Sus scrofa: one gene and its partner. The protein of the gene in region 1 interacts with the protein of each later gene in a biochemical or structural test. Links are inferred from orthologs where the notes say so. Each region holds a gene or a part of one and is shown on either strand. Other genes may lie near its edges. The genes, in order: MC4R and POMC.

What was found.
Region 2: the proteins of MC4R (region 1) and POMC form a complex in vitro, tested with the Homo sapiens proteins (2 studies listed by BioGRID). The link is inferred for Sus scrofa from reciprocal best matches to the Homo sapiens genes MC4R and POMC.

The regions. Positions count from the first base shown.
Region 1 is NC_010443.5:160,764,568-160,780,959, forward strand, and holds MC4R (melanocortin receptor 4), read left to right. Parts: upstream 1-7,445; 5' UTR 7,446-7,978; coding exon 7,979-8,977; 3' UTR 8,978-9,557; downstream 9,558-16,392.
Region 2 is NC_010445.4:113,655,376-113,671,906, reverse strand, and holds POMC (pro-opiomelanocortin), read right to left. Parts: upstream 10,196-16,531; 5' UTR 10,137-10,195; coding exon 9,920-10,136; intron 6,503-9,919; coding exon 6,351-6,502; intron 4,188-6,350; coding exon 3,516-4,187; 3' UTR 3,349-3,515; downstream 1-3,348.

The DNA of each region.
Region 1 (16,392 bases):
ATTGTTCTTTTTGGCTCTCTACTCATCTTTGCTAAATAGATATTTCCATTTACATGTCTCAAAAACACTTCAATTTCAAGATTTTAAAAACTAAATGTATCTTGTCTCTTAAAAGGTTCCTTAATCAGTGTAACAATCATAATTTAGTACAGAAAACAGACATACTCTCAGTACATCTAGTTGAAGGGGACTTGATATGGGAAATAGGTGCTTACAAAATTTTGAAATACTTATAAACCGTCAATTATTTCATTTCATTCAAATTTTATACCACTTGAGCTGCAATCCACAGATCAGGAGATACTGCTGGACTTGAGATTCCTGATTCACAAAGAGGGTGACCTGAAGGAGTCACCTTGTGCCAAAGTTGACATCTGGCAGATCCTGCTAGCCAGCTGCTGGGGCTCCAGGAGAAGGGCTTCTGTCTCATTTATGTTTTCCAAATCTCTTGAGAATATATTTAATTGGGAAAATATAACTCACAGACAGAATTCAGACAGCAAGGGAATCTGGGCAAGGTAGATTTTAGCTTTCTGAGCTCCAAACTGAAGGAAGTTGAAATGGAGACTGAGAGAGCCAGTCAACGTGCCTACCAGATTAATGGCACCAATATCCACACATTCACCCAGGCAAAAAAATGGAGGGCATTGAGAATTCCTTTCTTTTCCTCATTCCATTCATGACTGATTGGTAGTCTTATCCATAGCAGAACAACTATTGGTTTACCTCTGGTCTTCACATACTCTTCTTTGGGCTGCTGTAATAGTATCTTAGTAATTATCTAATAGTATCGTAAATTCTTACCTTTACCCTGTATAATTCCATGCTGTGTTTTCCTAAATCTTATCATGTTATCCCTTTAAAGAGTCTTGAAGCTCTTTATCCTGCAGGTAATGTGGGCCTCATTCAAAGTTTTTAAATGTCCTTAACAGAGTCCAAGGAAGTGAAGTTCTGATCCTCAGCTTGACATGGAAAGCCCAAGATGACCTGCCCCTTCCTACTATCTCCAGACTTCTCTATGCCTCACCCTTGTGGGCTCCAGCCATGCCAAAGTATTTGTCATTCCTCAAATTTGAAATATCATTTAATACAATCTGATTTTGCAGAAGTTATTCCATCTACCTTAAAATCTAGCCCTCCTCACTGCTCTCATCCAGCTATATCCTATCTTCTTCCAATTCCCTTCTCAACAAAACTGTCCAGTAAACAAGTTAAGGCCAACCCAAGCAGAGATTATTTCTACTAATTGCTATTATTACATCACTGATGACAAAGTGTAGGAATTATTATCTTGCAGTTTAGTCCCCTCATTTAGATTATATCTACACTGAAGTTCCTCAATGGCAGAGCACGACTTATTTGCTTCTATTCCTGAAGTAGAGTAGGTGCTCAGTAAAATACTAGTTAATAGAAGGATTAAAATAAGAAAGGAAAATTAAGTAACCAGGAAGGGATTTAAGATAAAGCCATCAAAATCATATACAGGCTATTATTATAAGCCAAATGAGAATGATTTTTTTAAAGAAAAAAATTATAATATTTTGAAATAAATTCCTATTTCACAGTATAAATTTTATAAAGATAATATTTTAATAATACTTTATTAGGATTCAAAGTATTTTAATGAAAGTTATTATGCTTAGTGTTACCTAATTTTGAAAAATTTGAAAACAAATGAATGCTATACCAAAATTAATGCAATAGAGAACATGTTTTCTATTAAAAATAATTATGAACACAGATTTCAATCTAAAAATGTTTATAGTCCTCGCAACATTATTTAGAGAACTTTTAAAATATATCATAACGAATATTACTTGGCCGTTAGAAGGAATGAAAGAATGTCATTTGCAGCAACATGGATGGATCTAGAGATTATCATACTAAGTGAAGTAAATCAGAGAGAAAAAGATAGATATCATATAATATCACTTAAATATTGAATCTAAAAACTGACACGAATGAACCTATTTATAAAACAGAAATAGACTCACAGATTTAGAAAGCAAATTTATGGTTACCTAAGGGGAAGGAAGTGGACAAATAAATTAGGAATTGGGAATTAACAGATACACACTATTATGTATAAAATAAGTAAACAGGGATCTACTGTATAGCACAGGAAACTATATTCAAGACCTTGTAATAACCTATAATGGAAAAGAATCTGAAAAAATATATATAAACATATAACTAAATTAATTTGCTATACATCTGAAACTAACACAATGGTATAAATCAACTACACTTCAATAAAAATAATAAAATATATGATAAATATCCTAATCTAAAATGAAAAATCATTTTTATTTTATGACAGACAATAAAATGCTTACATTAACACATGATTACATAATCACTAATAATCTACAAGAATTAGACACGAGATACATTTTTATAAATAAGGATTCTATTTCATGTTGCACACAATAATCATGGAACACTTTTAAATTAGTAAGAATTTTGTAGTCAGAATAATTTACTACATGAATGTTTCCCAAACTATATGTTCCAAATCATATTACCTTTAGTTCTTCTGTAATGTGACATTTTATAGTCCGAAAAATCAGCATCTACATGAAATCATGCAACCCAAGAACTAGGGTTTAGAGGGGTTACACAAAAAACACTCATGAACTTCATCAGTGACATTAAAAAAGGAAAGGAACCTAATGAAAACAATAGGAAAGGACTTCCTCTCATGGCTCAGCAGAAACAAATCTGACTAGTAACCATGAATACACAGGTTCAATCCCTGGCCTTGCTCAGTGGGTCAAGGGTCCGGTGTTGCTGTGAGCTGTGGTGTAGGTCACAGATGCAGCTTGGATCTGGCGTTGCTGTGGCTGTGGCTGTGGCTGTGGCTGTGGCTAGCAGCTACAGCTCCAATTTGACCCCTAGACTGGGAGCCTCCATATGCCTTGGGCATGGCCCTTTTTAGACAAAAAAAAAAAAAAAAAAAAAAAAAAAAAAACACCACAATAGGATACAATTACACATGTTTAATAGTTAAAAATACATAAACCAGAAAAAAAGAAAACCATAACCTACAACAAATATGGCACTGTACCTAGAAAAAGACTTGCATGCAGTTTGCTTAAGAAAGTGAGTTTTAGCAGAGTTATAGCTGTGAGTCATTATAAAATGATAAAGGAAAGCGTGCCTAAAATCTCACAAGATGTTATAACACCAAATTGCTGTGCATCATAACACATGCCATGGACTGAGGTAGCTGGTAAATGTTCAATGTGTGTGTCTTGTATCTTGGATCAGCTGGGTATAGGTTTCCACATTCACATAGTGTTTATCCAGTACAAAACTATATAACAACAAACACAATATTTGCATTGTGCTCAAAATGTTTTCTGATATCTCAATCAAGTTAGGAACAAATTTGCATTTTCAAAACGATTGTTACAGCAGAATTGAGTGTAATAAGTACTTGAAAAATAAGTGAGATAAAACAGGTTCTATGTGTAGAAAATAAGTGTATTAAGTAATATCGAAATTTTTTTCTAGTAAGAAATTTCAGAAACTTTACATGCTAATGTAAACTCTGAAACTCTAGGAAGGCAATGAGTTTGCAATGTTTTCCAGAATTCTTTGACCTTTTATTCTGTGGTGGGAATAACATTTACATCTCCTAAAAACAATATTCTGTGTAGTATAGTTTGATAAATACTCCTCTTGAACAATAGTTCATATTTATTATTATAAAATGTAAAATAAGGATTATTCTCATAAGAAAAATATATTCTGATCTAACTCAGTTTTGTGTGTACTTAGAAAAAAGAAATCTGCAATAAATTTTTAAAAATACCATTAATTTGTCTGGCACTGCTGATTGTATTTCTTCTGGCTCCTATAGAACTAACCTATGCCAGACAATTAAAATTCCTCCTTGGAGATGACAAAATGTTGTCTTTTCAGCATGATTAACCATATTAATCAAGGTATAAATCTATAGCAAATAATTAAACTTTACATTTTAAATGTATATGGTTTTCTATGATTTAACTATGATCATACTATCTGTAAATGAAATACCTTATTTTTTTTTTTTTGGTGAAAAGCCAAAAGAAAAGAATTTTGTTTTCAAATACTAATTTTATCTATTACATAATTATATGAACTATAATATTTTCCACATAACGATGATTATGCTTTCACAAATATAGGGAAAGAGTATTCTGAGCAGAGGGAATAAACTCATAAGAAAATGTCTAGTGTGCATGCAATCATGCATGCAAGTTTGATTGCAAGGAAGTTTCCATGATGGAGAATAGTAAGGAGAGAGTTTGCTAAGAAGAAAAAGAGGAGTCAGACCCACTGGTAGAATCAAAGGTATTTCACAAGTGACTTCATGTAGGAATTTTTGAGAAAGATGGACAAGGCAAAGATACTCTAAATTTTAAGCCTAAGAAAATGGAACAAGGAGTTCCCAACCTGGCACAGCGGAAACGAATCCGACTAGGAACCATGAGGTTATGGGTTCAATCCCTGGCCTCACTCAGTGGGTTAAGGATTCGGCACTGCCATGAGCTGCAGGGTAGGTCACAGACACGGCTCGGATCTGGAATTGCTGTGGCTGTGGCATAGGCTGGCAGGTACAGCTCCAATTAGACCCCTAGCCTGGGAACCTCCATATGCTGCGGGTACGGCCCTCAAAAGACAAAAGATTTAAAAAAAAAAAGAAGAAGAAAAGAAAATGGAACAATTATGGCACCAAGAGAAGTACAGAGCACAAAGTAAAAGCTGGACTCGAGGAGGAAGTCATACAGAGTTGACTTAATTCAACAAATTTCTTCCCTACTATGTACTTACTAGGTATTTCACCCCTCACACAAACCCAAAATGGGGGAAAGATAGGATTTTCATGTAATTTGAGTTTGCTGCTTATAAAAAGCTCCCTTAAAACATTTCAAAGTTAAGGTAATTAATGTTAGCTGCTATGACAGGTAAACACCAATATTTCAGCAGCTTAATGCAGCAATATTTATTGCTTGCCTGGATCACAGTTCAATGTCCTTGATAAGCTGGGGTATGTGCTTTGCGTAGTTATTCAGAGGCTCAGGCTCTTTCCATGACATAGTTCTGACGTCTACAACATGAAGTTTCAAAGGCATTCTACAGTCATCTGCCAAGAGACTGGAGGAAAAACTTGGGGAACCTCATGAAGGGGAGAACAATAGTCTCACCTCTACCCACATTCCATTAACTAGAATTTAGTGCCAGCCAATTCCAGGGAGAGATGGAAGACATTAATTTAACTCAATACTCAGGAATAATACTTAATATTGCTTCTGTCACAAAAGGGAAAGAAGATAAAGCCCTTACTTAAATAATTGGGTAATTAAAATTAATTTTGAAATAATTCTTTCTTATTTTTCCTTTTATCAGTAGCCACAAATGACAACGGAGCTAAAAAACCAAAAATAGTCACAGAAGAGGAAAAAAAACTACATAAAATTTCATAACCTGGAGTTTAGTCAACTTGAAAACTATCAGAGCTCCCATTGTGGTTTGGGGGGTTAAGGACCTGATGTTGTCTGTGAGGATATGGGTGTTTTGGGTTCAATCCCTGGCCCATCTCAGTGGGTTATGGATCTGGCATTAACACAGCAGCTCTGATTCAACCCCAGGCCTGGGAAGTTCCATATGCTGCAAGTGCAGTCATAAAAAGAAAAAAAAAAGTATATTTTCATAATCTTTCAAACTTAGCTTTAGCAAAACATTCGGAAACTCTGATATATAACTAGAATCCTCTCATCTTAATAAGTACAGTTGCCAAGGTATGTGTGAATTTAATCTAGAAAACCTTCAACTAATGAAGTAGATAGGTTACATTTAAAAAAAAAAAAACAAAAAAGAATTCCAAAATCTCCACATCCTAGCAAACACTTATCTTTTTTTTTTTTTTTTTTTTGATAATAGTTATCCAAACAGGGGTGGGTTGATATCTCATTGTGGTTTTGATCTTTTCTTCCCCTGTTGATTAGTGTGTGGAGCACCTTTTCACACATCTGGTGGGGCCATTTGTATGTCTTCTTTGAAGAAATGTCTACTCAAGCCATTTGCCTATTTTTAAATTGAATTATTTAGTTTTTTATTATTTGGTTGCATATTGTGCATATTAACCACTTACCAGATAGACGGTTTACAAGAATTTTCTCCCATTCTGTAGATCACCTTTTCATTCTGTTGCCTGTTTGCTGTTCAGAAGCTTTTTTGTTTGATGTAATCCCACTTGTCTATATTTTGGTTTTGTTGCTTGTAATTTTGGTGCTAATTCCAGGAAATCATTGTCAAGACTACCGTCAAGGAATTGTTGCCCAATGAGTATGAAGTTTCAGTTATGCAAGATGAGTAAGTTCTATAGATCTGCTGTACAAATGCCTATTATTAATAATACAGTATTGGGCACTTTAAAATATGTTGTGGAAACACCGATCTCAAGTTAAGTGTTATTCTATCTCACACACACACACACACACACACACACACACACACACACACACAAAACCCCACAAAAATACAGGGAAATTTTTGGAGGTGATGAATAAATATGCTTAGTACCTTGATTGTGATGCATTATGAATATATGCATGTGTTCAGAATCATTAAAATGTATGTCTTACATATGGCCATTTTTTGTATACCCAATTATCCTTAAATGCTTCCTTATTCAATTATTCTTTAATGCTTAAAAAAAAATCTGAGTATCGCCTAGTTATTGATCCTTTTCTGAGTTCAGAGTAAACACAGTTTACATTAATTCTAAATAGTTTTTTTTTGTTTTGTTTTGTACACATAGATGGCATATGGAAATTCACCAGCCAGGGACTGAATCCAAGCTGCAGCTGTGGCGAAGGTCACAATGGCTCCTTAACCCACTGCCAGAGTAGGAATCCCAAATTCTAAATAGTTTCCAAATATTGTAAATGAAAATAAAATTTTTTCCAGTTACAGTAAAAGAGATTCTGCAATGCAGAAATAGCAGGTATTAGTGCATAAGAAACAAACTCCTTCTTGAGCCCTCTGATAAACTATAGCTACCTACTTAGTCTTCCATCTATAACATAGTCTCTTGTATTATTAAATATTCTCCCCATATTTCAACTACTTTAAATGGGAGCATGACTTCCTTTGCTCTAAATTCAAAGAAACTGAGGGGTAAATAATTCAATAGCCTGGCCAAAAAGGCAGTGTGTATCTATTTCAGGACACACACACACATCTCCTTTTAAGTAGTAATAAACCTGGGTGCCTCAAAAAAGGGCTTGTTGTGATATAAAAGAATGTCCTCTAGAAACCAAGCTGTTTTCCTTGAAAACTTGAAAAGGGAAATTCAGTGTATCACAGCCTGCTTGTGCCTCCTGATTCTACACGCTTCTGCATCTGAATCAGCGCTGCCCAGCAGTTTGTATCTCTGGAACATAATCGGTGTCTCACAGACTCCCCAGGACTTGGATTGGTCAGAAAGAAGCAGAGGAGGAGCCACTGTGCACATTTTTTTTTCCCCTTCACACACCATAAAAATCACAGAGGCAACTAACACTCACAGCAAAGCTTCAGGTTGGGAACTGATTCTCTCTGCGAGGCAGCTGATCTGAGCATGCGCACACAGATTCATTCTTCTCCCAATAGCACAGCAGCCGCTAGGAAAATTATTTTGAAAAGACCTGAATGCATTAAGACTAAAGTTAAAGTGGAAGTGAGAACAAAATATCAAACAGCAGACTCGACAGAGAATGAGCGTCTTGAAGCCTAAGATTTCAAAGTGATGCTAATCAGAGCCCTACCTGAAAGAGACTAAAAACTCCATTTCAAGCTTCGGAGCATGTGATATTTATTCACAACAGGCATTCCAATTTCAGCCTCATAACTTTCAGACAGATAAAGACTTGGAGAAAATCGCTGAGGCTACCTGACCCAGGAGCTTAAATCAGGTCAGAGGGGATCTCAACCCACCTGGCGCAGGATGAACTCAACCCATCACCATGGAATGCATACTTCTCTCCACTTCTGGAACCGCAGCACCTACGGACTGCACAGCAATGCCAGTGAGCCCCTTGGAAAAGGCTACTCTGAAGGAGGATGCTACGAGCAACTTTTTGTCTCTCCTGAGGTGTTTGTGACTCTGGGTGTCATAAGCCTGTTGGAGAACATTCTGGTGATTGTGGCCATAGCCAAGAACAAGAATCTGCATTCACCCATGTACTTTTTCATCTGTAGCCTGGCTGTGGCTGATATGCTGGTGAGCGTTTCCAATGGGTCAGAAACCATTGTCATCACCCTATTAAACAGCACGGACACGGACGCACAGAGTTTCACAGTGAATATTGATAATGTCATTGACTCAGTGATCTGTAGCTCCTTACTCGCCTCAATTTGCAGCCTGCTTTCGATTGCAGTGGACAGGTATTTTACTATCTTTTATGCTCTCCAGTACCATAACATTATGACAGTTAAGCGGGTTGGAATCATCATCAGTTGTATCTGGGCAGTCTGCACGGTGTCGGGTGTTTTGTTCATCATTTACTCAGATAGCAGTGCTGTTATTATCTGCCTCATAACCGTGTTCTTCACCATGCTGGCTCTCATGGCTTCTCTCTATGTCCACATGTTCCTCATGGCCAGACTCCACATTAAGAGGATCGCCGTCCTCCCAGGCACTGGCACCATCCGCCAAGGTGCCAACATGAAGGGGGCAATTACCCTGACCATCTTGATTGGGGTCTTTGTGGTCTGCTGGGCCCCCTTCTTCCTCCACTTAATATTCTATATCTCCTGCCCCCAGAATCCATACTGTGTGTGCTTCATGTCTCACTTTAATTTGTATCTCATCCTGATCATGTGTAATTCCATCATCGATCCCCTGATTTATGCACTCCGGAGCCAAGAACTGAGGAAAACCTTCAAAGAGATCATCTGTTGCTATCCCCTGGGTGGCCTCTGTGATTTGTCTAGCAGATATTAAATGGGGACAGAGGAGACTTATAAATGCAAGCATAAGAGACTTTCTCCTTACACAGTCTGGACAATATGCTTCAACAACAGCATTTTCTTGTAAGGCATCAGTTGAGACATTCTATTGTATAAATTTAAGTTCGTGATTCTGCTCAGTCTCTGTGTATTTTTAAGGTCTTGCTACCTTTTGGCTGTAAAATGTTTATCTATACTACAGGTTATAGGCACAATGGATTTATAAAAAAGAAAAAAGTCCTTATGAAAAGTTAATTAATGTATCTTGTCATTCGAAAGGATTTGACACATTGCTTGTTTTAGTAAAATGGAAATCACAGTTTCATTAAATATATCCTAATAAATGGTTGCTAATATTACACTATACAACGCTGAAGTGTAGAGGTTTGATTCTAGCATTGAGGGGAGAAATACTGAAACAAGTGTTTAATCATTAAAAAATAAGCTGAAATTTCAACTAATTTAATAAAACATGCTCATTCTCCCTGTGCAGAAGGAGAAATGAAGCTTCTACTGGGAGAAAAACAGTTACTAAAAAAAAGTGGGGGGATATTTTGAGTTTGAAAACTATGTTTCTCAAAGACAGAGATATTAGTTTGCCCAAGCAAACTGTCTGATATTCCACACAGGCAACTGTTTGGGAGAGAAAAATAGCAGCTATGGGTACTGAAGTGTTCTGGGAAACCTAAGAGCATGGCAAGCTAAACTCATATCAAACTATTCTAACCACCCCCTAATAAAAACAAAGGTCTTTCTGCCCCTTTAACCAGGGACCCAGAGTCTGCTAAAATGTCCAGAAAAGGTGGTGCTACACTGGAGTCTTTCTCTTTATTTTTTAAAATTTTATTGGAATATATTTGACTTACAAAGTTGTATTAATTTCAGACATATAACAAAGTCAATCAGTTATACATATATTCACTGGCTCCTACTTTCTAAAAACAACCTACAAAATCAGTATTGAATTCTTTCACTTTTCACATGGAAGTGACTTGCTATAGTCTTATTGCTTATTTTCTGAACAGAAGTTGAAATACTCATTATCAAGGATTTTAGCTTTTAAAATTAAATCTATCGCACAGGTATTTTCAGGCAATATTTGTAAGATATGTAAAATAAGGGAACTTCTGATGCTGGTACATGACAAGCAGGAAGAAAGGTATTGCCCAAACCCCAGAGGACGACATGACACAAATTAGCCTTCCACAAGCATACTTTAGTGAGTAAACATTTGTTTTGCTCCAAATTGGCTACTGAGCAATACAACCTGTACTTTTCAACTTGCATGTACTTTAAGAGAGAAAATATATTAGGCTGAGGATTACCAGTAAACCATCCTTTGATTTAATTTATAGTGTCCTCAAATCCTCATGGTCTGAGATAAAGTGCAAAGGTATTTCTTAATTCAAATCTAAATGCTTTACATATATTGACAGCCAGTCGAGAGTAACACTTTCAGCATTTATGTGGGAAGATTACTTGAAAATGTAATGGTGAAGTTAAAGTTTACACAAGAAAGGTCGTACTGAAGCTTGATTACCGCAATTCCTCTATTTTACACTAAGTGTGAGGATTTAAATAAAGACTAAAATAACAGAACCCAAAGTTGTAGCAGGACGTAAAAAGTGTTTTTGTCTTTGTTACTATTCCTTTCCATTCTTTTATGTAGTAACTTGAGGAATCCCGGCGACTGGGGATACAGAAGAGAAGATGAGCATTTTCCGTGGGGTCACCCTTTCCAGTCCATTCTATTTCTCCATCCAGGGTCATTTCAGATGCTGCTTAGAACCAGCCCAGTTCTCCCACAGAAAGGAAATCAGCCTCCCTCACCTTGACTTTCACAACTCCTCCAAGAGCAGTTCACAGAGATGGGATGAGTGTTAGTCATGAACCTGAGTTCCCTGCCACCCTCCCCTATCTGCCCAGGGCACAGTATAAGGCTTCAGTTTCTTTAAGGGCTAAAACCATATCTTACGCATTTTTTCCTGTTCTCCAAACAATCTTCTATTATGTTACTTCCTCTTTCTCTGGTAAAACCAAGATTCTGCCATCATCATCACCCAAAGTACACAGTCTACATTAGACTTCATGCCTAGGTTGTTGCACATTCTATGCATTTTAGCAAACGTAGAATGTCATGTATTACAGCACCATACAGAAGGGTTTCACTGCTTTAAAAATCCTCTCTGCTCCACTTATTCATCCCTCTTTCTTTCCTAACCCCTGGCAACTAGTAACCTTTTATTGCCTCCATAGTTTTGCCTTTTCCAGAATGTCCTATACTTGGAATCATATAGTATATAACCTTCTCAGATTGGCCTCTTTCACCTGGTAATATGCGTGTAAGTTTCCTTCACATTTTTTATGGCTTGGTAGCTCATTTCTTTTTAGTCCTGAATAATATTTCATTGTATGGATGTAACAGTGTATTTATCTATGTAGCTACTGGAGAATATCCTGGTTGCTTCCAAAGTTTGGCAATTATGAATAAAAAATTATGAATAAACATTTGTGTGTGGACATAAGTTTTTAATTTATATCAAGGAGCAGGGCAGCTTTTAAAAACTTCAGTATAAGTACTGCGACACATGTGTCTATTCTTTAATATTGGTTAGTTAGCATATACATTATGCTGGTCTGGTCTATGTATTTCAAAAGTATCTGGTAAGAAGCATCAGATAACTTTATTGAAATTTTCACCAGAAAGTCCAATTAAAGTATATCAGAAATGGCTTTTCACTGGTGAAATGAGTGATTTTCAAGACTTACTGTTGACTTAGTTGTACAGCAATCACCATAACTCATATGAACAAGGTTTGCATTTTGCATTTCTGCCCACTCAGCAGCTAGCATGACACTTAGACTCTATAAGTCCCAAACTCCAGAGAGTCTCCACCTGCTTCAAAAAAATCTCTGTTGGGAGTTCCTACTGTGGCTTAGTGGTTAACAAACCTGACTACTATCCATGAGGATAGAGGTTCAATTCCTGGCCTCACTCAGTGAGTTAAGGATCCAGCATTGCTGTGAACTGTGGTGTAGGCCAGCAGCTGCAGCTCTGATTCACCTCCTAGTCTGGGAACTTCCATTTGCCACATGTGTGGCCCTAAAAAGAAAAAAAAGTTTCTATTGCCCAAACTAAATATTTTGAAATTACTAAAACACTTCTAAATAATTACTTGATAACATGTAAATAAGTATCAACTTCTGGCTTATATTATAAGGAATATAAAAACAAGAATATTTAATATGTTACCAACTATCTAAAGAAAGTACCCCTAACCTACTTATATTTCTCCTACATTTCACTTTGAATAATTCACAAAAAATCAGTAGTCATCATTTCTGGGTAATAATATTAAGGGGCATGTCTACTTTCCCTATTGAGTGTGTTTCTATTATATAAATTTACTGCAATGAACATGTTTAAGGTTTCTTTTTTTTTCATTTTTTAAAAAGCACACACAAGCATTACAATAGAAGATGGCTGATGGAAATGTAATTGCCAAATTACCAATGATTTGTGGAGCAAGAGTTAGTTTCAAACAAGAGCAGATCTTAGGTATCATCTCATCCAACACTCAGAGATACTGTCTAATGTCACGTGTGAAATCAGTGGCAGCATCAAAACCTGAAACCCCAGTTCTTGACTCCCATTAAGGTTTCCCTGTACCAAATTTTATTAGCCTTCTTCCATAAACAAGCATGGTTTTCTCAGTCATATAGACCTATGACTGAGTTATGGGTACACCAATTTTATCTGTGAGATTTTGTTGAAGTTAGTTTTCTTATTGTTAAATATGCATGACAATCTCTGCCTGATGTTAATCTTCAAGGGACAAAAGACGATGATAATATCAAAGATGAAAGTTCAACAAAACAGTGCCCAATCCACATAGGTGCTCAATAATAACTATTGGTATTTATAAGAATAAAATTAAATGAATAAAACCATGCATGAATGAAGACTAATTTTGCTGTTACTCAACATTATTAATAAATATATATAGGGTTTAGTTGTGTATTGTTTCTTAAACTACATTTAATAGTTTCCTTGACTTTGACAGAAGTTTTTGTATAAATGGATATATTTAAACAGAGTAGATCCACAGGCATACCTGTATTATATTTTTTTTTCTTTTAGGACTACACGCCATGGCATATGGAGGTTCTCAAGCTAGGGGTCCAATTGGAGCTATGGCTGCCAGCTATGCCACAGCCATAGCAACACGGAATCCAAGATGCGTCTGCGACCTACACCACATCTCGAGGCAACGCCAGATCCTTAACTCACTGAGAGAGGCCAGGGATCGAACCTGCAATCTCATGATTCCTAGTTGGATTCATTTCCACTGCGCCACGATGGGAACTCCAGGATACCTTTATTCTAAGAGGGTAACTTTTTATCACCAATTGTGCTAATTGTTTTAAAATTTTCAATGCCACATTCAATACTGGAAAAGCCTACTTAGATAACATGCAAACATAAAAAATCCACTCACTTCTTCAAAGATTGATACTCATTAAACTTTATGCCATCAATTTGTGGTGGTACAACAATAATGTTATTTAAGTTGATGTTGCTGATATTAAAGGTAAATTCTTGAGGAGTTCTTTCATGGCACAGCTGATTAAGTTTCTATCATTATCACTGTTTGGGTCACTGCTGTGGACTTGGTTCAGTCTACATCCTGGGAACTTCCACATGCCATGGGCACAGAAAAAAAAAAAAAAAGGTAAGCCCTTGAAAAAGAACCATAAATGATTTATAGTCACATCTTGATGCTCACCTATTAGTTCATCATGTATTGATCAAAGCCCTATGTGCTTGATTAAAGGGTTTGGAGTTTGGACCAGGGGAATATTGAGTTCAAATTTCGGGGAGTTTGCATTGGGGCTCAGCAGTAACAAACCCAACTAGTATCCATGAGGATGTGGGTTCCATCCCTGGCCTCACTGAGTGGGTTAAGGATCCAGCATGAGCTGTGGTGTAGGTCACTGATGCAGCTTGGATCCTGCCATTTCTGTGGCTGTGGTATACTCCAGTGGCTGCAGCTCCAATTCAACCCTAGCCTGGGAACTTTCATATGCCACATGTGCAGCTCTAAAAAGCAAAAGAAAAAAGAAAAAAAAATCTCAGATTTACCAGCTCTAGAACTTTGGGCAAATTTCCCAAGCACCTATAATCTAATCTTTGAAATAAAGATATTCACAATCTAATCATATATTGAATGATAAAGTTTAGATAATATAAAATTCCTAGTAGATTGAAAGGATCTAGTCCTATATATAATGCTTGTCACTATAGATATCTATGACTTTAATGATCTGTCAAATTGTGCTCAAAAGGTTATCGGAGCATAGACCCTAGAAGAAGTTACATGGTGATACTCTCTTGGCTACCCTCACTTCCCTAGCATGGAGAGACAGGAATCCATTTCAATCTGTTTTTACTACTATGTTTATTATTTTAAGTGTAAAGAATTTTTTCTTTTTACAGCTGTACCTGTGGCATACAGAAGTTCCCAGGCTAGGGGTCTAATTGGAGCTGCAGCTGCAGTCTATGCCACAGCAACACCAGATCCAAGTTGCATCTGCAAACAACACTGCAGCTTGTGGCAATGCCTAATCCTTAACCTACTGAGGGAGGCCCGCATGCTCACAAAGACAATGTCTGGTCCTTAGCTTGCTGAGTCACAAGGGGAACGCCAAGAAATTTTGAACACTCCAAAATAATTCAAGGGAGGTAGTAGGTGGAATTGGGTAGGTAGACACAGAGTGTTTCGATGGCTTCAGTAATGTTCTAGCTCTTCTATTGAATAATGGGTTTTATGCATAATTTAATATTATGCTTCACAATTTAGAAATAAATACTTTTTTATATATGCAGTATTACATGAATCTTAAATGAATATAATGCATTTATTTTGCAATGTGCTTACTGAGAAGGAAATGCAAAACTATATTTGCACAGAATAAAATCACAGGATTCCTAGCACAATTTAATGCTCCACTTTGGAGGGAAAGATAAAAGTTTTGATCTATGATAGTCATGGCTGAATTGGGCCCTGGGTTAATGAAATTAGTAATCATAGTTTACAATTATTAATAGTGTTTTCACTGCCTAAAGACATCTGGAAGCCCCTCAAATACAGAGCCAAGTGGAAAATTTCAGTAGTTCAATCAGTGAACCATTCAATGATGTTTTGTATGAGACTCAGCTGCAAATGACACTATCGAAGTCTGATTTCAAACCTAGCATTTGAAACAGTGTGAGAAATTTCACTTTTAAATTCAAACCATCACTGAATATAATTTAAAAGTAAAAATATAACAATAAATTTGTTTATAATTCCGCTTGAGCAGAAAAAAACACGTTAAAATTTTCTCTGTGAAAAGTTCAACTTCTCAATTTAAATGTATTTTATTTGTAATACTAAAATTGCAAAATGGCCTCATTAAAAACAACATATGTGGATTTTTCTATAAATCTCATAATATCTTGGAGATTTCACTTAAAAGAACATGTAATATCCATATTCTTACTGAGTTCTTTCATGAAGAAAGAAAGAAGACTTGAGAGTAATTCTTATTGTGATTTTGTTTACTAAGGATGATTTGTGAAATGTTGAAAATTGTGCTCTGTTATAATTTGTACCTATTAGCTACATAGCTGTCGGCTACTTCACTGTCAATATTGGAAAGAAAATCTATACATTTTCACCTCTGCCCTATCTCTAATCTTCCTCTTTAAGCTGTCACATCTCTTTTCCATATAGATGTCTTATTTTCAGCTAAAACTCAATGTGGCTGAAACAAAAGCATTCATTGATACAAATCTGACTTTTTTTTACTCTCTTTATATTTTCATCATTTCATCATTCTCTTGGGAACAGAAAAGTTCAGTCACATTGTGCTTTCATGCCAAGAACAAATGAAATAAGTGAGATTTTGAAAAAAGATGAGATGTGTGAAGCCTGACACAAATGGCTGGGCCTTCCTGTATGTACAATGGAGTGGGATGGAGAGAAAGTTGACTTCTGTGGATTTATAATTCGTATTGGGCAAAATAAGAAGAAAAGGACATCACTGATTTGGGTTTGGTGGGCTTTTTTTTTTTTTTTTTTTTTTTTTTGAGAAACCTGCATAAAAACTAGGCTCAGGGAAGTCTAATTGAAATATAGTTGATTTATAATATATTAGTTTCAGGTTACAGCAAAGTGATTTATTTATATATAAATATATATCTATATTCATTTTTAGATTCTTTTCAATTATAGGTTATTACAAGATATTGAATATATTTCCCTGTGCTGTATAGTAGGTCCTTGTTTATTTTATATACAGTAATGTGTATATATTAATGGCAAACTCCTAATTTATCCTTCCCCACCCTTTCCCTTTTGGTAACCA
Region 2 (16,531 bases), on another chromosome or scaffold:
CAGACAAGGGGGTGCTGGACCCATCTGAAGTGCGGGAAGTGCCAGGGTCAGGGGTGCGCTGCCCTCTCCCCTCAGTGTTCTCAGTCCGAGGGGCTGTTTCAATTGGTCTAAGAATCTGAGCAGCCTCACTGGACCTTTCGATGCCTCAAAGGCCAGACGTCTTGGCTTCACTGGGTCTGAAACTTTCCAGAAGCTTCCAGATGCTAGGCCATTGCCCCTGGGACTTCTGACCTCCAGAATCTTGTTGAGAAGTGAGAGCTGTTTCTTCCATGGCCATGAAGAGGACCTGTGGGAAAAGACTAGACGTGAGCTGTCAGGCTGAGTGTTGAGGTTGATGGTAGCCAGGGAGGTGGGCTCCTCCGGGCAGGCCACAACCACTTCTCCTGACACACAGACCCTGGCAGGCGGGTTGTGCTGAAATGAGGCATCTTCCATGCATCTGGGGAGAAGGCTTAGGGCAGTGCATTACTTCTCCATCTCACTAACTCTAGAACTCTTCTAGTTAGAGGAGCTCTTATCCCATATCTGGCTTAGGTCTGAAGCCTGCAGAAGGACGGTGGCGGGGAGCTGACAGCTGGGGAAGTGGGGAGGGGACAGAGGCCTGTGGGAGGGCTCTGTGGCCTTGTGGGACCAGAAGAAAGTTTTCTGTGCTCTCCTTTAGCACCGGCCAGGTTGCCCGGGTCTTTTCTCCTTCAAAGGACCTTGGGGTCCCAGCCCCTCACCTTGCCCTTCCGAGCTCTTCCTCTGTGGCTGTGGATTCTGGCCTGTGGGTGCAGAGCTGTCGATCCACCAATGCTGCAGCATTACACGTACATTGTAACACGTCTGTGTCCACTGAGACCTTCACGACCTGGCTGAGCGCGTGTATCCCCGTGGGTGTGCATGTGTGTACAATGTAGTGCATAGTTGACAATGTATGTATATATAAGCTGACGTATTTATTTGTGAGTGCAGAAGTAGTGCCTGTGGCAGTTTTCTGTATTTGGAACTCATTGAACCAAATCAGTTTAATTTCAAAGAAAGGGAAAGGGGGGTGTGGGGGAAAGCGTGGGGAGAAGGATTCTTAGCAAGATTCTTCTTTAGGACTGTTAGTAGTGATTTCCCCAGGAGCGGTCACAATGCCCTTTTCAAATAAATGTTAATGTTGTCACCACACAGTTATCTATTTGATTTCTTTAAAGTAAATGGTTTTTTGAGAGGCAAACAGGATCCGCGATACCCCCCCCCCCCCCCGGCATTAACCACTGACACTTAGCCACCCCCACCTACCGTTCCTTTACTCGCCTCAAAAGGAAGGCGGATGAGAGACCCTGGGAGCGCCCTCAGATGGGAGGGCCTGTGTCATTTCTTCACTGTAGGGACTAGACTCTAGCCCCATTTCATACAACCCGCATTGGACACAATTTTCTATCTTAAAAGTCTGGCTTTCGGGGTTCCCATCGTGGCTCCTTGGTTGATGAACCTGACCAGTATTCATGAGGCATGAGGATGCGGGTTCGATCCCTGGCCTCGCTCAGTGGGTTAAGGATCTGGCTTTGCTGTGAGCTGTGGTGTAGGTCACAGACGCAGCTTGGATCCCGTGTTGCTCTGGCTGTGGTGTAGGCTGGCAGCTACAGCTCCGATTGGACCCCTAGCCTGGGAACCTCCATATCATGGGTGCAGCCCTCAAGAAACAAAAAGAAAAAGAAAAGGTCTGTCTTATTTATTTTTATTTTTTTGGTCTATGGCCGTGGCTTATGGAAGTTCCCAGGCCAGGGACCGAACTCTCACCAAAGCAGTGACTTAAGCCCCTGCAGTGACAATGCTGGATCCTTAACCTGCTGTACCATGAAGACATACATGCCCTCTGGTGCAGAGGGATTGACTGCAGAAACCCTGAAAATGAGCGGGCTTGGCTCATGAGGTCCCAAACTTCCCAGTGGAAGTGGACTTGAGCCTGGGCTCTTGAAAAAAAGAGCAAGGTTCAAAATGGAGAGGGGGAAGGCCAGGAATTCCAGGCAGAGGGTGGAAGCTGCTGGGAGAGGAAGAGCGAGAAGACCAGGGAAGCGGGGTTTGGTAAAGAGAGTGAACCTGACAGACAAGGTCCCTTGTGTGTGCCATGCCCAGTAGTTTGGAATTGGTGGAAAAGTGGGGGTGGGCAATTTTCTTGTGTCTTGAGCCAAGGAATGGGGAGAAAGCAAGCTTCTGTATACATTAGAATAAAGATCTTGTGTGATGGGCTGGGGTGGAGGGCAGCTGGAGACAGGGAGACCAGTTGGTTAGGAGCTGTTAGGATAGTCGAGGCCGGAGTGGGCAGCAGGGAGAATGAAGACAGTGACAGCGCAACCTGAGGAGGAAAGAGCTTGGCCATGACAAGGGGGGGAAGATAGAGCTCTAGGTCTTGAGCCCTAGGGACTAGAGGAAACATCCATACACATTGTGTTGTATTTATACAGATGTGTCTCCACAGGTGGGTGTCTATGCGGGTTAGACCCTGTGTTTGAGAGTGTCTGTGAGTAGCCTGGGAGGGCAGTCACATCTAAACTGATACCAACCCTCAGCTCTCACACTTAGCCTCAGTGATAAGATGATCCTGGAGTTCCTGCTGTGGCTCAGCAGGTTAAGAACCATGTCCGTGAGTATGTGGGTTCGATCCCTGGCCTCACTCAGTGGGTTAAGGATCTGGCGTTGCCCCAAGGTGCGGCGTAGTTCACAGATGCAGCTCAGATCTGGTGGTGTGGCGGCTGTGGCGTAGGCTAGCAACTGCAGCTCTGGTTAGACCCCTAGCCTGGGAACTTCCATGTGCCATAGGCATGGCCATAAAAAGACAAAGAGGGAAAAAAAAAGATCTTATCCATTTCTCATTCATCCTTACAATAGCCCTCATGGTAGGAAGGAAGAATAGCTGAGAGAACCAAATCTTGGAGAAGTTCAGAGATTTAGCTAAGGTCCCACAATAACTAGATCCAGGGAGGCATTAGGACAGCTTCCCATCTCAGAGCTCAGAGAGCCCTCCCAGGTTCCGTTGGGCATCATCAGCCTCATGGTGGCTCTGGGAGGTGGATGGAAGCCAGAGTCGCTTGGAGAAACCCTGCCTTTGGGTACAGCTAGCTAAGCAGTCTTTTCCCAGCCAATGGAGAGCGGGAAATGCCGCCACCCAGAGCATCAGCCAAACTCTTTGACCCTCAAAGACACTTTTACTGGGGCAGGGAGGGAAGAACCTTTTCTTTTCATTCCCACTGTGTCCTATGAAACATACCACTACTACCCGGTCCCATGGAAACCACTCTCTCCTTCAATACGTGCAGCTCTTTATTTGATGGATATGTACTTGTATTTTATTCACCCAGTCAATACTCAAAGTCAGAGTCGGATGTGAAACTTGAAAGGTTTTATTTCCTAACTACAGGTAAGAGGCGGGATATCTGGCGCCCACACAGCCTGAGCGTACCCGGGCTGGAGGCGGCAGGAGGGCAGGCAAGGAGAGGGGGCTTTGGGGTCGGCTTCCGGGGTGAGAGGCGCCTGCCCCCTGACCCTCACTGGCCCTTCTTGTGGGCGTTCTTGACGATGGCGTTTTTGAACAGCGTGACCAGGGGCGTCTGGCTCTTCTCGGAGGTCATGAAGCCGCCGTAGCGCTTGTCCTTGGGCGGGCTGCCCCAGCGGAAGTGCTCCATCTTATAGGGCCCTTCGTCCTTCTTCTCGGCCGCCTCGGCCTCGGCCACCAGCCCGTACTCCAGCTCGGCCCGGGCGGCCGCGCCCTCGGCCGGGGCCTCGGGGTCCCGTGCCGGCTCGGGGGGCGCCCCGGCCAGCTCCCTCCTGAACTCGAGGGGGAAGGCCTCGGCCAACTCGTCCTCGGCGCCGTTGGGATACACCTTCACCGGGCGCCGCTTCTTGCCCACGGGCTTGCCCCAGCGGAAGTGCTCCATGGAGTAGGAGCGCTTGTCCTGGCGCGGGCCCGGCGCGACGCCATCTCCGCGGGGCCCGGGGCCTTCGCCCGCCGCCACCTCCTCCTCCTCGCGCTTCTGGCCCGCGCCGCCGCCACCGCCACCGCCGCCGCTGCTGCTGCCATTCCGGCGGCCGAAGCGGTCCCAGCGGAAGTGGCCCATGACGTACTTCCGGGGGTTCTCGGTCAGCGGTTGCGCGTCGCCGTTGCCGGGAAACACGGGCGTCTCCGCAGAGAGATCTGGTTTGCAGGCCCGGATGCACGCCTGCGGGAGAGCGGTGGGCAAATCAGGACCCGGCGCCCCACTGCCCTCTCCTTCCGTCCCTTCAGCACGCGCGGGTGCGAGATCGGCTCCCAGCCCCAGGACGTCTGCCTGCCCCCGCCTCTGGGCACCCACAGACGTCTGAGTCTCGACTTGAGCACAGCCTCTTTTGTCCCTGGACGCCGGTACCTCTGCCTGGCAGCTCCGACAAAATCCCCGGCCCGCTCGGTGTTTTACTTTTCCTGTAGCTTTTATGGGCAGGATCAGCGTCTTAAACATTATATATCAGATATCTAGGAATTCATTAATAAATGGCAGGTGGGTGGTAGTTGTTGGCACTTAGTGGATACTGAATAAATAAACATGATTCATTCGAGTCTGGGAAGGCCATTGGGTTGAAATTCAGGGGAGAATCATCCCTGGTGGGAGAAGCAGAAGTCTGGCTTCTAGGGCTGTATTTTCAGTAACGCCTCAAAGTTACCCCGGGGGGTCTGCAAACCTACCTCGTGCCCTACCTGAGCCATCTCCCTCCAAACCTGCCCGCACCTGTCTGGCACTTTCTCTGGTTCTTTCAAGTTTTCTGAGCTAATTCTGTACTTTGCCCAACCAGTGACCTTTGGGAGGAGGTGGCTCCCTTCCCTGTCACCTCCTTCTGACTGGAGGAAAAGGTGGGAAGTCAGGATAATTTCCAGTGCAGAGGTCGTGGAGCCTGTGTCTCTGCTCCCTGTTAGTAGACATCTCAACTCTGGTACATCTTTGCTCAGGAAAACGACCTCTAGGCTATAGCCTTTTCAGTTACTCAGGACAACTAGGGAGGAAACAGAAGGATCCCACCCAGTGTTGAGCTGGGAATTTCATAGTCAAGGGTTTGAGAATTGTAACACTGCAGAATATTAACAGTGGAAAACAAAAATTATCTATACGTCTCTCCCCTGGACACATAAGGAAACAGGAGGCTCAGAGAGGAGAAAGGAACTTGGCAAGGTTCCATAGCCCATTGGTGGCAGAAGTGGGACTAGAACCCATGGACTCTGACCATGGCCAGTGCTCCTTCCCTGGTGAGCCCTCAACAGGAGAGGCTGTGCAATGGGTGTCTCCAATCAAGAGTCTCTTGGGTCTCTCTGAACTAGAGCTCACAAAACTCTCTGGGCTCTTTGTTTCTATTTTATACTCCATACGCAACCTGCTCTGTTTTTGAAAAGTCTCTCTCTTCACTTAAACTCAGCTTCTCTACTGACAAAATACACAGAATGTTGTGATGAGCATCCCATGCTCACCAGGCAGGTGAGAACTTGGTCACAAACACAGCATATCTTTTAGCCTTGACTTGGTATTATTTCTCATTTATGCCTTCCAATACAAACACACACATACACTGTGGTGACCTGGAGGGAGTTCCAGGCTGGCATAAAGGGCCTCTATATGCTTCTGAAAAGGCTGAGGAGGTCAGCCCTCCATCAGAAGCATGGGACATTTGGCTCCAGTTAGAAGAAAATGGCACCCAGGCCTTTTCTTCTCCTTCTAGAGATGGTTTGTTGTACTACGTAGCCGGCTTTGTAACTGATAGTAGATAAAGAAGGATGAAAAATGGAATGAAAATGGCAAGTGATAGGAGGTTATTAAAAAGGGATAATTTGGGGGGTTAAAATATTGAAAATGTAGAATCAGTTGAGGAGCAATTATTGTTGTTAGTATTATTTATTTTAATGGCACTATCTCTACGTAGCTTAAATGAAGTGGGTCTCCATAAGAAGAGAGGGCAGGAAGTAAAGATAAGCAGAAATTGGGGACTAGACCTATCTCCCTTCCCCATTCACCTTTCTCTTTCTTTTTTTGTCTTTTTAGGGCCACACCCGAGGCATATGGAGGGTCCCAGGCTAGGGATCAAATTGGAGCTATAGCTGCCAGCCTGTGCCACAACCACCACAACGCAGGGATCCAAGCCACATCTTCGACCTACACCACAGCTCACGGCAACGCCGGATCCTTAACCCACTGAGTGAGGCCAGGGATTGGACCTGAAATCTCATGGTTCCTAGTCAAATTCGTTTCCACTGCACCATGACGGGAACTCCCCATTCACCTTTCTTTGTGCTGTCCCAGCCCCAGCCCCAGTCCCAGTCCCATCTGATACCCAAACCAAGATGGCAGCCATGGCCCACATACCAGCAAGTTACTTTCCGTGGAGAGGTCCTGACACTGGCTGCTTTCCAGGCACCAGCCACGCACTTCCATGGAGGCCTGAAGCAGCAAGGCCAGCAGCAGGGCCCCCGAGCGACTGCTGCACAATCTCGGCATCTTCCAGGCAGGCTGAGGCTCTGCAGAGGCAAACAAGATTAGTGGGACCCCTGCAAGGAGCAGAACAATGTTGGCCACTGATCAGGAAGGACTGCGAGCCAACATTAACAATACACTACCTCTGGAGCTCAAGGGTTTTTGAGGACAGGAGCTGCCCAAGGAGCAGGTTGGTGTGCAGGGTGGTCGTGTGAGTTGTGGCAGAGATGAGAACAGTGGGACCTGGGTGAACTAGGCAAAATTTCCCCTTTACCTCCTATTGAAAATCAGACTCCAAAGGCTATTAGGGCTGGAAGCTATTTTCGGGGTTATTTGGCCTGGCCTCTTATTTGAGAGATGAGGAAACTGAGGTCCAGAGAGAGACAATGTATGACTTGGGGGTTCATGATGAGGCAAGGCTAAGGTTCTGTTTCCAGCACCAAGCTTTTCTATTTCACCATCTTCTGGAAGCTAGAGTTCTGTCGCTCCAGGTCCAAAGATTAATTTGGGAAAGACAAAGAATTCTGAAACTCCTGCTCAAAATGGTCTACTCCTCCTCTGCCAGGATTCTATCATTGCTCAGAAACCCCATTTCCCATGAATAGGAAGTTTGCAAAAGAGCAAAGCCTCTGGCCAATGTAGCCAAAACCCAAGCCAATCCAATTGAATGTCCTAGACACCGATCACTCAGGAGATCACTATTTCTCAGACCCTGTATCCTTGAAGAGATTTCTTTTTAAAAGAGACCCCCTTCTTTTAAAATCAGCTCATCTCTTGAACATATTACATGTCACACCTCCTCTTGTTCTCGGAGTCTCTCAAATGTAGTCTGAAACGGTGGACTTGAAGATGCTGTAGATGTGAAAGGGAACATGATGGCGGCTCAGAGCAGAAGGGAACTACCTTCCACTGTAACCCCTACAAAGACAATTTCTCAGAGGAGTCAGGAAGTACCTCTGGGCAGAGGCTGAACTCAAGAGGTCAGGATGCAATGAAGAGGGGAGAATTGATGCTTCCCTTTGCCCCTGTGCCCAACGCTTTCCCTAGCCTTCTAGCTCTCACACTGACATGTCCCACCTCACAAAGTTCACCCCTCTGAAATGACCTGGAGTTCTGTTGTTATCTTAGAACAACCCCAAAATCATTTTGGATTTCAGAAGATTTTTCCACCAGCTGTTAGGAAGAAACTAATTAGATAAGAAAAGTGATTCACAGTCAGTTATGGATGATGTATTGTCCCTCCTGATTCATAATAGCTGCCTAAAGAAATCTCATCTTTGGGGAGGCATGGGCCAAATATTTTTTACAGGGGTGGCTTTGGAAGTGAAAGTTCTCCCTGGCTCTCATTGCCTATTTCTGGAAGCCACTCCCTTCTCTCTGTCCCACCCCACTCCTTTCCCCAAACGCTGAGCCTGAAGGGCTCCCTTCTGAATGGTTGCCAAGTGCTGCCTGAGTGTTTTCGGAGCAGCCATTAGATGGTGCTGGCAGCCAGTGAGCCAGTCCCTTAGCATCTCAGGCTGATGGGCAACTGGGAGAACATTGGTCAACCTTGGTGTCCAGTTGTGACCAGGGACAGTCTGCTCCTGTTGCAGATTTTTGGTGCCCCAGTTCGAGTACTGAACTTTGTGGACAAAGCAATTTGGATTAAAGCTCTGAGAACACGCAGCACATTTCAGTCAGTAAAAAATACTCAGATTTACAAGCAAAGCAGATAAATGGTTGTTTTATATATCACTATGGGCAAGTGCAAAATAATGTATTGGTAGAGAAAGTAGGAAAATCATACAGGTTGGACAGTCCCCTCAACTATATTTCATTTCTCAGAGCACTGGCCATTCTGGAATGATTTCCATTTTCTAAGAAAGCTACCTCGTGATTTCAGGCCTTCCCAAAAAGCCCCAGAGCCCCGCTGGCTATGACATTCTCACTACTCCCCTGAGAGGTAGAGGATCCTGCAGCCTCCTTCTAAAAAGTTAGATAGCTTCCTGAAAGCATTTTGTATTCTTTCTGCTTATGTGCATTTTCTATTTTTTCTACAATAACCAAATATGACCTTGTGTCATTTTTTTAAAGCAATAAATTAGTGTGGAGATGGCAAATTACTTTTGTAGATAGGTAGCATCCAATAATTGAAAGCTTGGAAAAATAACTAGAAATTTGTATTTTGCTCATCTTAACATTAACTTTAAAATAGAACTATACTTATAAGAACTTTGTATGTGTTGATGAATTCTCTCTGAGCCAAAAACCTTTTGTTTGTTACTCTAAAATTGCACATGGCCCATGCCCTTCTATAGAGATTAAGAAGCGCAAACAAATGATCTACACAGAGAACTCTATTCGATATTCTGTAATAAACTATGTAAGGAAAGAATCTGAAAAAGAATGAATATATGTATGTGTATAACTGAATCACTTTTCCCTACACCTGAAACTAACACAACACCGTAAAGCAACTATACTCCGATTTAAAAGGAAAAAAAAAAAAAGATTAGAGGAGCCGAGGTGTAGAGTTTTGTCCTTGTACCACGATACACATGCATCAAGCCCTAAAACAAAATGTCAAAGGAACATTAAGTCATTAAACAGGCTACAATCTGTCTGTATCTTAACAATGGACCAAACAAATGCACACATTCGTTTCCCTTGGCTCCTTCCAGTTATTCTGTGAGAATCACCATCTCCCTGTTTATACACGAAGAATTTGGGGGATCCAGATACCCTGCAGACTCTTTCTCCCTCGCTGGGAACCCACCTGGCCTGAGCCTCCTTCTGTTCCTATTGCCACTTCTGCCCTGCAATCTGAGATCTGCGGGGTAGAAGGTCCACTCTGCAGTCCTATTGCGGGCAGAGATGGGGTGGTTCAGGACCGTGGACAGTTCCCATCTTCGCCACCTCTTTTTAACACCAACTGGTCTTGTAGAGACCTTGTCAGTATCATAGCGCAGCCATCTCAGGTGCACTAAAGTAGGCAGGGAAAGGAGGATTCAGAGATCTGAATCCAAAAAGTCTGGACTGCAAGGAGTCTATTGTGACTTTTAGTCTAGTCTCTTCTGCCCCCATCGCCAATGTTAATTTACTCTAGAGGATAGGATATATTTTCAGTGACATCTACCCAGAAGAAGACCTGAAAGACTAGGTCTCCCAAGATCTCCTCAGAATGCAGTAGGAATCTCAAGGGTCCAAGCAGCTCCCCTCCCGGGAGGAGACGCAGCCCCGGCTCCTGGAAGGCACCACTGTCAGCCTTGCAGCTGCTCTCCCACCGTCCAGAAGCTGGCTCTCGCATCTCCGCTGCCAGCAGCTTCCCACACCGCACCCAGGACAGAAACTTTTCAAAGAACTCAGGATCGCGGCGAGCCAAAGGCGCCTCTAGTCTGAGATCGAAGCTGGGCGAAAGCATCCGGAGGGCCAGGGTAGAGGGTCCGGGGAGAGGAGCAGATGCCGCGCCGCTGCGCCCTTACCTGTCGCGGGGAGGCTGCTCTCGGGGCGACTCCCGCTGCGCCGAGGCAGGAAACTCGGCGGTCTCTTGGTCACTCTTCTTCCCCTCTTTCTCTTCCCTCTCGCTGCCTTGTCCCGCTGTCTCTGCTCGGTCCTTATATACTTGCGGGGCTCCACCAGGTGGGCGCTGGAAGTGATTGAACTTCCCGGCAGCGGCCGCGTAACAGGCAACTCCCCCATCCATAGGAAGGGGGGCCGTGGGACGCAGGAGGGGGGGTTCCAGGTAGGGGCTAAGCGCCAGAGCAGAAGTGCCCGGAAAGGGGGCTGGATCTCTGCTCCCGGAGGCTGGAATTAACACTGTTCTGCTGAAGGGCACACCTGGCAGCCTTCAGGAAAGAACTTAATTAAGGATGGTTTGGGTCTCCAGGTAGGACAAATGGGAGGCTTAGCACCCCAGTGTGGGGCAGGCCTAGGGAGCTTGCTGAGGTCGTTGAAGAGAGGCTGAAGTTACCTGTGTCCACAACGTGCTTGAGCTGGCATCTACCTCCTTCTCATTTGGTGGTAAATCAAGAACTAAGAAAGAACACCTGCAATGCCTCAGATTTCCCCCCAACGTTAGGAACCTGTGATGTGAAAATGTCAGGAAAATGTCATAATCCCTCTGTTACAGATTGAGCCCCCCCCCAACCCCACCCCGCAACCCTGGCTCCTGGAGAAGGTCGGGAGTTGCTCACCTGAAGCCAGGTCAGGTTGCCTTCTTGGGGTGTGAAAGCCAGTTGCACTGCCCGGCTGGGGCCTCCTCTGCAAGGGCCAAGTCCAGGCAGGCTCCTTCCTGTGCCCTAAACCCTAAGGAAGAAATACGGCTAACCCTAGCATGGGGGAAGGAGGGAATTCTCTGTGAAAAGCAGCTGAAGTACCTTCCCTTTGGCCTCTGATCCCTTCCTGTGCCAAAGAGCTGGCAGAGTGGTCTGAGGACTCTCCGTCTTCCCCAGATCTGGTCTTGGCATTCTAGCTTGGCTCCAGCCCCAATTGTCAGGCCAGGGTGAAAAGAATGCTCTCCAACACTCAATGGAAGAGTCTCAGCCTGGAGAAAAGAAGCCAAAGCAAATTGTGAGGGATGAGGGGTAGGGGTGGGAGGGAGTTTGGGAACGAAACTGGACTTCATATCAAGATGCTTGTTTAATATGTCCTTTGCAGGAACTTCCTTTATTCCCAATCAGATGCTCTTTTGGCTGCCAAGACCCCCTTGAGAAGTTCTGGTTGGTGACAGTGGCTTTATAATCAGCAACCCTTTCCTTTTGAGGCACAGGAGAGATTTGAGCTCCTTAACAGTAAATAAGGTACTTTGCTACCTGGCCTTGGCCTCTTCCCAAAGAGCTGCCACCCCTTCTTGTATCCTGGCACGTCGACCGACCACAGCGTTTACATCCCCCTGAACACTATTTTCTCGCACCTCCGTCTATTTGGCCACACTGGTCCCTCCACTAAAACACCTTTCCTCCTTCCAGCCACCTGGGAAAATTAGACTTTTGCATTAAGGTTTAGCTCATCTGGAGTTCCCGGCATGATGCAGCAGAAATGATCCAACGAGTACTCATGAGGATGAGGGTTCGATCCCTGGCTTCGCTCAGGGGGTTAAGGATCAGGCATTGCTATGAGCTGTGGTGTAGGTCGAAGATGCAGCTTGGATCCTGAGTTGCTGTGGCATAGGTCAGCAGCTGTAGCTCTGATGCTTCCCCTAGTATGGGAACTTCCATATGCGGCCGGTGCGACCCTAAAAAAAAAAAAAAAAAAAAAAAAAAAAGATTTAGCTCATCCACCACCTGTTCCCTGATGCCCTCCTTGGTCACTTGTCCTACCAGGGCATGAGACATGGCCGTCTCTGTTTCCCGGAGAACCCCATTCCCATCTCATCTGGTCATATAACCCTCACAGCTGGAACAAATTCCACTCTGTCTTCTGTCTTCCCTCTTCCACCCCCTCCTGCCCCTTCCACTACCAGTCTTAGGAGCCCTCTCTATCGGATTTCGATTTTATCTCACTTTTCTCTGTGTTATTTTTATAACTTTTTGTTTATTGTTTGTTTTTCACCACACCTGTGGCCTGCATAAGTTCCTGGGCCAGGGGTTGAACCCATGCCACAACCATGACCCAAGCCACTGCAATGACAATGCTGGATCGTTAACCCACTGTGCCACAAGAGAACGCCTATTTTTATAACTTTAAAAAGCAACTGATGACAGCAGAAAAGCCAAACCAGGAAAAGTTCAGACTGACCCAGCCTCTGTCCTCTTTAAGTTGAGTTCTTTTTTTTTTTTTTGTCTTTTTTTTTGTCTTTTGTCTGTTGTTGTTGTTGCTATTTCTTGGGCCGCTCCCACAGCATATGGAGATTCCCAGGCTAGGGGTTGAATCGGAGCTGTAGCCACCGGCCTACGCCAGAGCCACAGCAACGCGGGATCCGCGTCTGCAACCTACACCACAGCTTGCGGCAACACCGGATCGTTAACCCACTGAGCAAGGGCAGGGACCGAACCCGCAACCTCATGGTTCCTAGTCGGATTCGTTAACCACTGCGCCACGACGGGAACTCCCTAAGTTGAGTTCTTAATTACATGCAGCAGAACCACCTTTGGCTGATATGAACTGAAAGGCCATTGAATCACATTTAGAATCACTGGGAAGGCTGGGCGATCAGGATCCAAAATTGGGCAGAGAAGAAAAGTGACTGGAATCATGGCTACTGATTGGATCCAATGAGAAAGAAATCACACTGCTGGGAACGAGAGGCCAAAGTCACACTGTCAAAACCACAGCCATTTGACATAGGTGTCACTTCTATCCCCAGGATGGGAGGTTGTCATTCCCACTTTGGCTGACGTCACTAGAAAGGACTGACCACTATTTCACGGCATCACCACCTCCTCTTCGAAAGCCTGCAGTAGCTGCCTCTGATTGAGATGATAACATGACTTTCCCCTTTATTCTGGTAACATGGTGAATGACATTGTCGACTTTTGGTGTTACACATACCATGCATTCCTGGATTGAGCCCAGCTTGATTATGATGTGCTTACAGCATTGGGTTCATTTTGCTAATAATTTATTTAACATTTCTGCATTCATGTTTATGAGGCCAGCCTGTAATTTTCCCTTTTTTGTAGAGTTCCTGTTAGATTTTGGTGTCAAAATTTTGCTGTTTTCATAAAACAAGTTGGACAGCCCTCCGCCCACCCCTAATTTTTACAATTTAATAGAAGAATTTGTGTCCAATGGTGTTAATCTCTTCTTTAAATGTTTGAGATGATTTGTTAGTGATGCTAAGTCTTTGTTAAATGATTTTAAAATACAGATTCAATTATTTAAATAGCATTATTCCAATTGTCTATTTCTTCTTGTGTCAGTTTTAGAAAGATGTGTATTTCTAGGTATTTGTCCATTTCACTTAATTTTTAAAATTTATTTGCTTAACTTTGTTTCTTATATTTTCTTATCTTAATATCTATGGAATCTGTAGTTATGGTCCTCTTTTATCTCTGATATTGGTAGTTTATGTCCCCTCTCTTTTTTCTTGATTAATTTTCTTAGGGGATTAACAAATTTATTAGTATTTTTAAAGAATAAATTTTGACTTTGTTGACTTTTCTCCATTGCATGTACATCTTGTTCTATCACTGAAATTTCTACTCTTATTATTTCTTGTCTTCTAATTTCTAATTAGCTCTTTTGTTTTCCTGTTCTCTTGAGTTGAATCTTAAATAAATGCTTTTTACTTAGATAACTGATATTCAATTGATAATCTTTATTCTTTTTGATGTGTATTTATGGCTATAAATTTCTTTCTAAGTATGGTTCTAGTTGCATCTCACAAATTTTTGTTTTTGTTTTTGTTTGACAGCATATGAATTACCCAGGACAGAGATCAGCTCTGAGCCATAGTTGTAACCTATGCCACAGCTGCAACAATGCCAGATCCTTTAACCCACTCTGCCTGACCCAGGATCGAACCCTGTCCTGGTGTGCAGAGACATTGCTGATCCCATTGCATCACAGTGGTAACTCTGCATCTCACAAGTTTTGACATGTCCTATTTCTATTACCATTTGTTCAAAATATCTTATTTTCATGGAGATGTCTTCATTGACCTGTGGGTTGTAGAGAAGCGTTCGGTTTAACTTCCAACCATTGGGGATTTTCTAGTTCTGTTTTGAAATTAAAATTTAGCGTAATTCCTCTGCAGCCAAAGAACATACTTTGTTTCATTTTAGTCCTTTGAAATTGGGGGTGGGGAATGTTGCTTAATGGATGAACACATGATTAATGTTTCATGTAAACATCACAAGAATATGTATTCCATGATTGCTCAAGTATTCCATATCCTTTCTATAGCTATAGCCTTTCTTTCTTTTTTTTTTTTTTTTTTTTTGGTCTTTTGTCTTTTGTCTTTTTGTTGTTGTTGTTGTTGCTATTTCTTGGGCCGCTCCCGCGGCACATGGAGGTTCCCAGGCTAGGGGTTGAATTGGAGCTGTAGCCATCGGCCTACGCCAGAGCCACAGCAACGCAGGATCCGAGCCGCGTCTGCAACCTACACCACAGCTCACCGCAACGCCGGATCCTTAACCCACTGAGCAAGGGCAGGGACCGAACCCGCAACCTCACGGTTCCTAATCGGATTCGTGAACCACTGCGCCACGACGGGAACTCCCAGCTATATCCTTTCTGATCATTATCCTATTCTATTGGTTACTAATACATTATGTCGTTTAAATTTCCCCTTTAATTTTGTGGATTCAGCTACTTCTCCCTTCGGTCCTGGTGTAAAAAAAAAAAAAAAAAGAAAAGAAAACAACTCTTTATAGAGATCTAATGGAGAATGTGGGCCAGAGGTGGAGCACAATATAGGATCGGGGATAAAGACAGCAGCAAGGTACTAGAGCATAGTTGCATGGTGATGGGAAGTGGAAATTGATGCTGCCAGTGAGAGTGGGAAAAGCCAAATAATCCAGGACTTCAGTAGAAATGAGATGGGGTCCAGAGGAATAACCTAGTTTCCAAAGAATAGAGAGCCTTCCTCTTCCAAGAAAGAAGGGGTTACAGACAGAGGAGACTTGTAGGAAAAGCCATGGGAAGATGAGTGAAATCTCTCTGTGCCAAAGCCTTTACCTTTTAACCCAGAATTTCCTGAGGAAATATCTATAGTTACCCTAAATGCTGTTCAAGACTATTCATACAACATTGTTTATAGTAGCAATAAAATGGAAATAAACTAAATATCTAGGGTGTAATTATTAAAACCGTATACTATACTTACAAAATTATGGTAAAACTCTGCAACGAAATACTTTGCAACCATTCAAAATAATGTAGATGTTTATTTCCAGACATGAGAAATGACCACTGCATGTTATGAAGGGAAGGAAATGCGATAAAATATAGACACAGAGTTGAACCTCGAACTGCATGGCTCCACTTATACTTGGATTTTTTTTTCAATGAATTCGTACTACCGTGCTACATGACCACGGTGAGACCACGGGTGTGGGGCTGCGGGGAGAGTGGGCTGACTGTGGGACTTGAGTATCTGCAGATTTTAGTGACCTTGGTGGGTCCTGGAACCCATCTCCTGAGAATACAGAGGGATGACTGTAAACATGGATGGAGATAGAAACAGGAAAAAAGAGGAGTTCCCGCTGTGGTGCAGTGGAAACAAATCTGACTAGTAACCATGAGGTTGCCGGTTCGATCCCTGACCTTGCTCAGTGGGTTAAGGATCCAGCATTGCTGTGAGCTGTGGTGTAGGTCACAGATGCAGCTTGGATCCCACATTGCTATGGCTGTGGCATAGGCCAGCAGCCATAGCTATGATTCAACCCCTAGCCTGGGAACCTCCATATGCCACGGGTGCAAGCCTAGAAAGCAAAAAAAAAAAAAAAAAAAAAAAAAAAACAGATTAAAAGATACCAAAGCATGACTAACAGGTGACACTGGATCCTTTAACCCACGATGCCAGGCTGGGAATTGAACCCACACCTCTGCAGCAACCTGAGCTGCTGCAATCAGATTAACCCCCTGCACCACAGCAAGAACTTGAAAACTTTGTTGTTCTAAACACTGATGTTTATTTTGCTCACGAATCTGCAGTATGAGCAAGGTTTGGTAAGGCCAACATACCTCTGCTCTACCTGGCATCAGCCTAGGCAGCTCAAAGCCTGGCTTCTGCAAATTATCTCAAGCTGCTCACTCCCATAACTTGTTCCCGGGCTGGAAGACTCAGCTGGAAGCAGGGAGAGCTGGGGCTCCTCAGGTACTTCTATTTCTGTGCAGCCTTGCCCCGTGACCTCTTCAGCCCACAGCCTTGGGGGAGCTAGACTTCTCACCATAGGCTCAGGCCTTCCAAGCACGCATCTGGAGGTGATTTTCTCTGCCAGGTAGAGGAGGTGGATGGCCAGCAAGGGCTTCCCAGAGAAGGGGATGCTGCGTTAGGTCACCAGGATGAAGAGAGGAAAGTCATTCCAGGCAGAAGGAACAGCACGTGCAAAGGACTCAAGCAGGAAAAACCTTACGTTCCCGGGAAGCTGGTGCAGGGGTAGAGGGAGACAGAGAAGACTAGAGTCAGAGGCAAGAGCGGAGGTGGGGAC